2 linked regions of the Cricetulus griseus genome follow. The main gene of each other region encodes a partner of the protein of the gene in region 2 in a complex. Links are inferred from orthologs where the notes say so. Each region holds a gene or a part of one and is shown on either strand. Other genes may lie near its edges.

Region 1 (4,272 bases), on a different chromosome or scaffold from region 2:
TTTTTTTTATTTTTTTAATAATTTATATGAATTTGCCGTGTGGTGATGGCACACGCCTTTAATCCCAGCACTTCGGAGGCAGAGGCAGGTGGATCTCTGAGTTCGAGACCAGCTTGGTCTACAGAGCAGAGCGAGTTCCAGGATAGGCTCCAAAGCAATAATACAGAGAAACCCTGCCTCAAAAAAGCAAGTAATAATGATAATAATAATAATAATAATAATAATTTATATGAATTGGTGGGTTTTGCCTTCATATATATCTGTGTGATCATGTCGGATCCTCTGGAACTGGAGTTACAGACAGGGTTAGGGTGGTTGCTGGGAATTGAACTCAGGTCCTCTGGAAGAGCAGCCAGAGCTCTTAACCTCTGAGCCACCTCTCCAGCCCCAGGTTTGTTTGTTTGTTTGTTTTTTAATTTGCTTCTGCTTCATTTGATCACTCATGACCTAATTCCTTCCTGTGATGCCCTAAGGATTCGTCCACATCTCTGGAGGAGTTGGTGATGTCCTCTGTAGTTCCTGAGGCAGGAAGGGTTCAGATTCATGCTTCTAGCCGGCTCAGGAGAGGCAGACTCTGCGGCTCCAAGGACCCCCACGTTTAGGAGTGGTGACATTAGTCAGGCTTTCTGGTGGAACCTTAGCACAGGAGAGGTGAGGCAGAAGAATCACAGTTATTATCCTCAGCAGCCTGGGCTACTAGAAGTGGTTTTTACTGCTATTATTTTATTACTTTACAATATAATGTAAACTATTGATAATTAAAGACAGAGCCCCACTTAGACCCAGCTGGCCTCGTGTCTGGTTTGCTATCCGCTTGGGGCGCTCCTGAGCCGCATGTGTAGGCTCCGCCCCCAATCTCCGATTGGGTGTGCTAGGCTCTAGGCCCTGCCCTAGCTCCACCCCCTGCAGGCTTTCTTCCCTCAGTTCTCTGGTTTATACGAGCTGCTCGGTTTTTCCGCCTATGGACACTTGGAGGCGCTAGTGAGTCGTATTTCACCTTAGCCCTGCCCCTGATCTCTGATTGGTCAGATCCCGCCCCCTGCTGAAGTTTCTCCCTCCGCCCTCGGAATTGCACGTGAACACGAGTCCTTCCGGCTCCGGACGCCTGAGGGCGCTCGCGACTCTGCTGAGTGGGCGCTGCTCTAAGCCCCATCCCTATCTCTGATTGGTTAAACTGTCCGCGTCAACGCCAGGCTCCGCCCAGACCCCGCCCCCCGCGCCGGCGCCCCTCCCTCCGCCCTGTGGTGCCGGCGGCGCTTGTTGTTCAGCGGCGGCGGCCGAGCTCGAGTGCATCCTCGGGCCCGCCGCCGCCGCCGGAGCGCTTGGCCATGGAGCTGGAGGTGCCGGACGAGGCGGAGAGCGCCGAGGCGGGGGCCGTGACGGCGGAGGCGGCCTGGTCTTCGGAGAGCGGGGCGGAGGCAGGTAAATCCGGCACCCCCGTCGGCGCGATGGGCTCGCCCCGCTCCCCCGCCGTGGCGCCGTGGTCTCGCCCGGCCGCTCTACGCGGCGCTGCGGCCCGCGGGCTGTGCCATTCACACGCGCGGCGCGGGGGTGCGCGCGCCCTCCCATTCCATGGACTGGGGGAGCCGGCGCTGCGGCCGGGGAGACAGCACAGCCCCGCCCGGGGATACGGGGCTCTCAGCGCTCGGCCCGTTTTAGGGTCCTCGGGTAACACGGGCGACCCGCAGGCGGGTGTGGGTGCGGCTCTGTATCCTGGCAGCCTGTGGAGGGAGCGATCCCCTTCTAGATGCATGCGGTAGCGAAGATAGGGTCCTCAGGTTTGGAGGAAAAGGGGACCGACCCGTTTGGGGGAATCCTCTTGCTGCAGGTGATGGAGACAAACCAGCCCTGCCTCTTTGGGTGTGTGGAGAGTGGTTTCTCCACAGTGCGTGGGATGCTGCAGCACCCTATTCTAGTGAAGGAACCCCCACCTGCCAGGCTAGAAAGGGCGAAAATGTCCTCCATGCGACCCCCTTTCTGGGGCCACCATGCTGGGCTGTCAATCTTGCAAGTGTGACCTTCTGGTGCCTCCCTGCTACACACCACCTATCACCCATTTGTGGGCCTCAGTCTACCTCTCTCTAAAACGGGTGGGGGGCAAAGGAATGATTTGAGGTGATTTCTCCATCTTGGCTGTGTGAGCCAATGTCCTGTCAACCCCCAAACCTTCCAGACTCTTCTCCCTGGACCCTGTCTGCCATGCTAACATAGCCTGTGGGGCCACCCAGCTTCCTCCTGTCCCCTTTCTTGTCATGAGCAGCCTCTCTGGGCAGGGCAGGGCAATGTGCACCGCTGAGAGAACAGAATGCTCTTTTCTCCATTGAGGTCACAGGAACTTCCAGGGTTCACAGGACCCTAGGCTCCTCAGCATATCCAATGTCTGACCGCTGCAGTTAGGTCTCTGTGGCCTCACACAGGCATCCAAGGGTCCCCTCAAATGTACTTTTTGCACACCAGCGATGGGGGAGGAGCCAGACAGCCAGCGGTCCCTAGCCCCAGGCTCTCAACGCCTTCCTCTGTGCCATCTGGAACCTAGTGGCAATGAACCTGCCTCTTGCCACCTGCCCTCCTTCTCCACTGTCACCTGGTGTCCTGTGCAATCAGTCCCTTACCATGCTGGAGGAATTGTGCAGGGGACACAGGGTCCCTTCCTGTCTGTCCACCTTGTGGCCAGTGTGGCCACAAACATGATAGGTCCCACCGAAGCCTCAGGGCAAACATTCCTCCCCATGGAGCCTTGGTCATCCTGACTGGGGACTGATAAACTGACTAGAACTTCAAAAGGGTCTGTCACTGAGCTCTGGACACACCTGACTCCAGACCCCCAGGGGCTGTTCCTCCCGGAAGTCCCTCTTCCTGACTGGAGTCCTATTAAGTTAATCATCCACACAGAATCCCATAGCAGCTGTGTGTGGGTCCCACCCTCCAGTCCAGCTCCTTGATGTGCCCCCAACTACAGTTGGGGGATCACTGCAGCCCTGATCTCTTTAAGGAGTCAGTATTGCTGGTTGTGTTAGCATTAATTTACCACCAACTGCATACCTGCCTCCACAAGTCCCACAGCCCTCTACTATGACCCATTCTGATAGCTTCTGTTTGTTAAGTGTGTGAACACGGGGGGTGTTCAGGGTTGGTGTCCCAGTTTTGCTGTGGCTGGAGGTCAAAAGCAGGCAGAGCAAGGCCTCCCCTGGTGGTTCTTCCTGGAAAGGCTGGGTTCTGTGGGTGCCTGTGTCCCCTGCTGCCTGTCCAGCCAGCCTGCTATCTGCTCTAGTAATTTCCATCAATCTGGTGGGATGCCAGCCTATCCCTGTGCTGTTTAGAACCCAGTTAGTTATATTAAGGACTCCTTGCTCCAGAGGTCTGGCCCCAAAACTGGCCTGTCTTCCTGTGGCTGCCGGGGTCCCTGTGTAGTTTGTGAGTATGTGGAAGGGCTCGGGAAGGCTGGGTATTTAGGACACCTAGGCTGGTGACCTGCTGGGCTATGGCGTGAGCCTGTTCCTAAACTTCATCATTCCTAACCTGCCACTGCCTCCTCCCCTATCTAAACGGGTGGTGAATTATGTCAGCATTGCTTCTAAAATCACCCCAGAGTCTGCCCACGTCTCTTCCACCCTCTGCCTCACCAGGTCCAGCTTCATCATCCTTCATTTTGCTTCCCCCAGCTCTCCTGGTCCAGAAGAAGCCCCATTAAAAACTGGCTCAGGGCCCTCCTTCTGCCCACAGCCCTACCCCATCCCTTCTGACTCCCTCCCTGCCCCTCACTCTCTGCTCCAGCTGCAGGGGCATCGGTGCTCCTCCTGCTCCTCCAACAGCACAGCACCAGGACAGGGTGGCATTCAGCAGATGCACTGTGACTGCCAAGGTGTGCCGGGTATGGCCCATGAGATGCCAGGTGTAGCAGGAAGAGGCAGTGACCTTGACATCAGGGTCAGAACCTTAGAGACAAAAGGTTCCATCAAGTCTTGCCCTAGGTGTCCTCGTGAGATCCTGCAGTTGGATGGCTCTGGGGCCCTTCCTCAATTAGGCTGCTGGGATTAGCGTGCTGATATACACAGGGCCAGGATAAGGCCGGGGACCTAGGCTGGACTAGTTGCAACCTCCATGCTAGTTTTTGTCAGTAAAGTTTTATCAGCATGTGAGCCTGCCTGTCTTCCCACAGGCTGCCTCCCTGTTCAGTTGGGGCTGCTAGCTGCACAGAGCCACAGGGCCTCCCAAAAAGAGTCTGCTGAGACTCAAGTGGGAGCATGTTAGGGGGCAATCCATTAAGGTGAC
Region 2 (3,804 bases):
GCTGCCCACCCTGACAGTGAGGAACAGCAGCAGCGGCTGCGTGAAGCGGCTGAGGGGCTTCGCATGGCCACCAATGCAGCTGCACAGAATGCCATCAAGAAAAAGTTGGTGCAGCGCCTGGAGGTAAGGCTGGGCAGTCCTTGCAGGGAGGTGGGGGGGTAAATGCACGGATGCAGTGAGAGGAATGAGTGGGGGTAGGTGGGGAGAGTGCCGTGTAGGCCAGGGCCTGGGAATGCCTGGTCTTCTGATCACTCTGTCCTTCTAGCATGCAGCCAAACAAGCTGCAGCCTCTGCTACGCAGACCATCGCTGCAGCCCAGCATGCAGCCTCTGCCCCCAAGGCCTCTGCTGGCCCCCAGCCCCTGCTGGTGCAGAGCTGTAAGGTAAGTCTCCAAGAGGCATGTGGGAGTAGGGAGGGGTCAGAACAAAGGTAGTACTTTCCCTGACTTCAAGAGCATGAGATTCATGGCACTTTGACCTACAGGCTGTGGCAGAGCAGATTCCATTGCTGGTACAGGGCGTCCGAGGAAGCCAAGCTCAACCTGACAGCCCCAGTGCCCAGCTCGCCCTCATTGCTGCCAGCCAGAGCTTCCTGCAGGCAAGACACTCTCCACTTCTAAGACCAGATCCTCCCCACCTTTCCAAGACCTTAGATCCCCCACAATCTGAGTATCTGCTAGTAGCTGAGACCAAACCTGAGTGCTTACTTACTGCACCCTACCAGTGTCCGTTGGAAGGCTAGAGAGAGGGTATTGTATACCTCATTTGCATATCTTCTCCAACAGCCAGGTGGGAAGATGGTGGCAGCTGCAAAAGCCTCAGTGCCAACAATTCAGGACCAGGCTTCAGCAATGCAGCTGAGTCAATGTGCAAAGAACCTAGGCACTGCACTGGCAGAGCTCCGTACTGCTGCCCAGAAGGTATGGGAGCTGTTCTAGCTGTGGAAGATGAGGCTCTGTATGTGGACTCCTGGGATGGGGGAGAATTTGTACACTATAACCTCTAAGAGGGATGACTGTAGTCTGAGGCCCAGGAATGTAGCCATACCCCCTGCTGCTCGCCATCACAGGCTCAGGAGGCATGTGGACCTTTGGAGATGGATTCTGCACTGAGCGTCGTACAGAATCTAGAGAAAGACCTGCAGGAAGTAAAAGCAGCAGCTCGAGATGGCAAGCTTAAACCCTTACCTGGGGAAACAGTGAGTAGTCGGTCTTATTAACATGCCCTCAGCCAAACCATGAAAGTCTGCTCAGCTATGCCCTAGAACCTTCATTTAATCTTCCAGCTGTCCCCAAGAACCTTCTCAGATACCCTCTCACTTCCTCCTCCTCCTAAGCCTTCACCCTCTTATCTGCAGATGGAGAAGTGTGCCCAGGATCTTGGCAACAGCACGAAAGCAGTGAGCTCTGCCATTGCTAAGCTGCTGGGGGAGGTTGCCCAAGGCAATGAGAACTATGCAGGTATGTAGGCACAAGGCTAGGAATGGGACATATGATAGGGAAATGGAGAAGGGGGGCCTTGTTGGGGAGAGAAGCTAATGGAGCAAACCTATCTCCTCTGTGTGTCCCCAGGTATTGCAGCTCGGGATGTGGCAGGTGGACTACGGTCACTTGCCCAGGCTGCTCGGGGTGTAGCTGCCCTGACATCAGATCCTGCGGTGCAGGCCATTGTGCTTGACACAGCCAGTGATGTTCTGGACAAGGCCAGCAGCCTCATTGATGAGGCAAAAAAAGCAGCTGGCCATCCAGGGGACCCAGAGAGCCAGCAAAGGCTTGCTCAGGTCAGTTATTAGGAGGGGCTCCTGCCCACCCCTCCCTTAGATCTCTTCAAAAGGTTCACCCTAATAAGACACACACTCTTCAGCTTCGTGTGTCCTCAGATCTGCTCATAAGAGTGCCTCTCTGAATTCCACCTTCTCTCTTGTCTTAGAAGTATCTGTTAGGCTTAGGCACAAACCTTGCAGAGCAGCGGGTTTGGGGATGTTTGGTGATTATTGTTTGTTATGACCCTGACCTCAGCTTCTTCCAGTTTTAGTGGCAGGACAGCTTGTTATCTCCTATGTCCCAGTGTGGAAGGAGGGCTCTCCCAGATTATTCCTTCTTTGGCAACCCTGTTTCTTTTCCACTTCAGGTGGCGAAAGCTGTGACCCAGGCCCTGAACCGCTGTGTCAGCTGCCTGCCTGGCCAAAGAGATGTGGACAATGCCCTACGAGCAGTTGGAGATGCCAGCAAGCGACTCCTGAGTGACTCGGTAGGAACAGGCATGGCTAGGAGAGGAGAGCTTTCTGTCTCTGGGCTTCTCCTTTGACCCTGCCTTCCCAGAGCTGCCCTTTTCATTATTCCTAGGTCCCGTGCCCATCTTACTGGCCTTCCTTTCCCAAACTCTGTCTCACCTCCCATCCATCTTCCTGACTTTCCCTCTGACCCCACAGCTTCCTCCCAGCACTGGGACATTTCAAGAAGCTCAGAGCCGACTGAATGAAGCTGCTGCTGGATTAAATCAGGCAGCCACAGAACTGGTACAGGCCTCCAGAGGAACCCCTCAGGACCTGGCTCGGGCCTCAGGTCGATTTGGACAGGACTTCAGCACCTTCCTGGAAGCTGGAGTGGAGATGGCTGGACAGGCCCCGGTACGATGGGGCAAAGGGTGTTATGAGGGCACAGTAGGGGACACATGGCTGTTTGGGGTCTGGGTCTGCTGGTTGCCTCCTCCCCAGGGTCTATCAGAATGTGAGTATTTGGGAAAGATCCTTTTAGAAACAGATATGACAGGATAATGTATGCTCTCACCTGTAACAGAGCCAGGAGGACCGAGCCCAGGTGGTCTCCAACTTGAAGGGCATATCCATGTCTTCAAGCAAACTTCTTCTGGCTGCTAAGGCCTTATCCACAGACCCTGCTGCTCCCAACCTAAAGAGTCAACTGGCTGCAGCTGCTAGGTAAGCAGGAACTGGAAAGCCCAGCTCTGGGAACCTGTGAGAAGGCCAGAGAGAAGACATTTCCTAAGACATCCCCAGGGTTAGCAAAAGAAAATATATACAGTCCCATGCACACAGGACACAGGGAAGATCACCTACTCACTGAGTTCCACACCCCTCCCCCAAACAGGGCGGTGACAGACAGCATCAACCAGCTTATCACCATGTGCACCCAGCAAGCACCTGGACAGAAGGAGTGTGACAATGCCCTTCGGGAACTAGAGGTGAGCCTTTAGCATAGTAGCTGGAACTAAGGAGCTAGGGCTGAGGGAATGTCTCAAATTTCATGTCACTCCCCTACACAGACAGTCCGAGAACTCCTGGAGAATCCAGTCCAACCCATCAATGACATGTCTTACTTCGGTTGTTTGGACAGTGTCATGGAGAACTCAAAGGTTAGTGGGCCGGGGAGCTCTAGAGAGGCAAGGACAGGAAGATGGACTTAACACTGATACCTTGATGCTCAGGATGTGATCCGACCCTCCTGACACCCTCTCTTCCTTAGGTCCTAGGTGAGGCCATGACTGGCATCTCCCAAAATGCCAAGAATGGAAATCTGCCGGAGTTTGGAGATGCCATCGCCACAGCCTCCAAGGCCCTCTGTGGCTTCACCGAGGCCGCTGCACAGGTTATTTCCCTCAGATGGACTCCTAGAGCAGCTCTTGCTTTCTATGTCCTTTCTCCCTTTGCAAGGATATAAATCAAGAAGCTAGTGCAAAATCTGGGTGCCCCCCTTCTGTAGGGAAGGGAGATGGTCATCAGAACTGTTGAGCTGCAGCAGCTCAAGGTGCTGTAACTCTTGGTTTTGGTCACATTGACCAGCTGTCA

What was found.
Region 1: the proteins of Tln1 (region 2) and Pip5k1c are in contact, whole or in part, in a crystal structure (PDB 1Y19), measured with the Mus musculus proteins. The link is inferred for Cricetulus griseus from reciprocal best matches to the Homo sapiens genes TLN1 and PIP5K1C. Residues at the interface, in NP_035732.2 of Mus musculus: Pro209, Val210, Gln211, Leu212, Leu214; in NP_032870.2 of Mus musculus: Pro646, Leu647, His648, Tyr649, Ser650, Ala651.

The regions. Positions count from the first base shown.
Region 1 is NC_048598.1:102,067,339-102,071,610, forward strand, and holds the start of Pip5k1c (phosphatidylinositol 4-phosphate 5-kinase type-1 gamma), read left to right. Parts: upstream 1-1,226; 5' UTR 1,227-1,328; coding exon 1,329-1,422; intron 1,423-4,272. UniProt on the Homo sapiens protein: Catalyzes the phosphorylation of phosphatidylinositol 4-phosphate (PtdIns(4)P/PI4P) to form phosphatidylinositol 4,5-bisphosphate (PtdIns(4,5)P2/PIP2), a lipid second messenger that regulates several cellular processes such as signal transduction, vesicle trafficking, actin cytoskeleton dynamics, cell adhesion, and cell motility.
Region 2 is NC_048595.1:99,973,483-99,977,286, forward strand, and holds part of Tln1 (talin-1), read left to right. Parts: coding exon 1-123; intron 124-265; coding exon 266-382; intron 383-483; coding exon 484-597; intron 598-784; coding exon 785-919; intron 920-1,068; coding exon 1,069-1,197; intron 1,198-1,356; coding exon 1,357-1,459; intron 1,460-1,570; coding exon 1,571-1,779; intron 1,780-2,129; coding exon 2,130-2,249; intron 2,250-2,430; coding exon 2,431-2,628; intron 2,629-2,797; coding exon 2,798-2,937; intron 2,938-3,106; coding exon 3,107-3,200; intron 3,201-3,281; coding exon 3,282-3,371; intron 3,372-3,481; coding exon 3,482-3,604; intron 3,605-3,804. UniProt on the Homo sapiens protein: High molecular weight cytoskeletal protein concentrated at regions of cell-matrix and cell-cell contacts. Involved in connections of major cytoskeletal structures to the plasma membrane.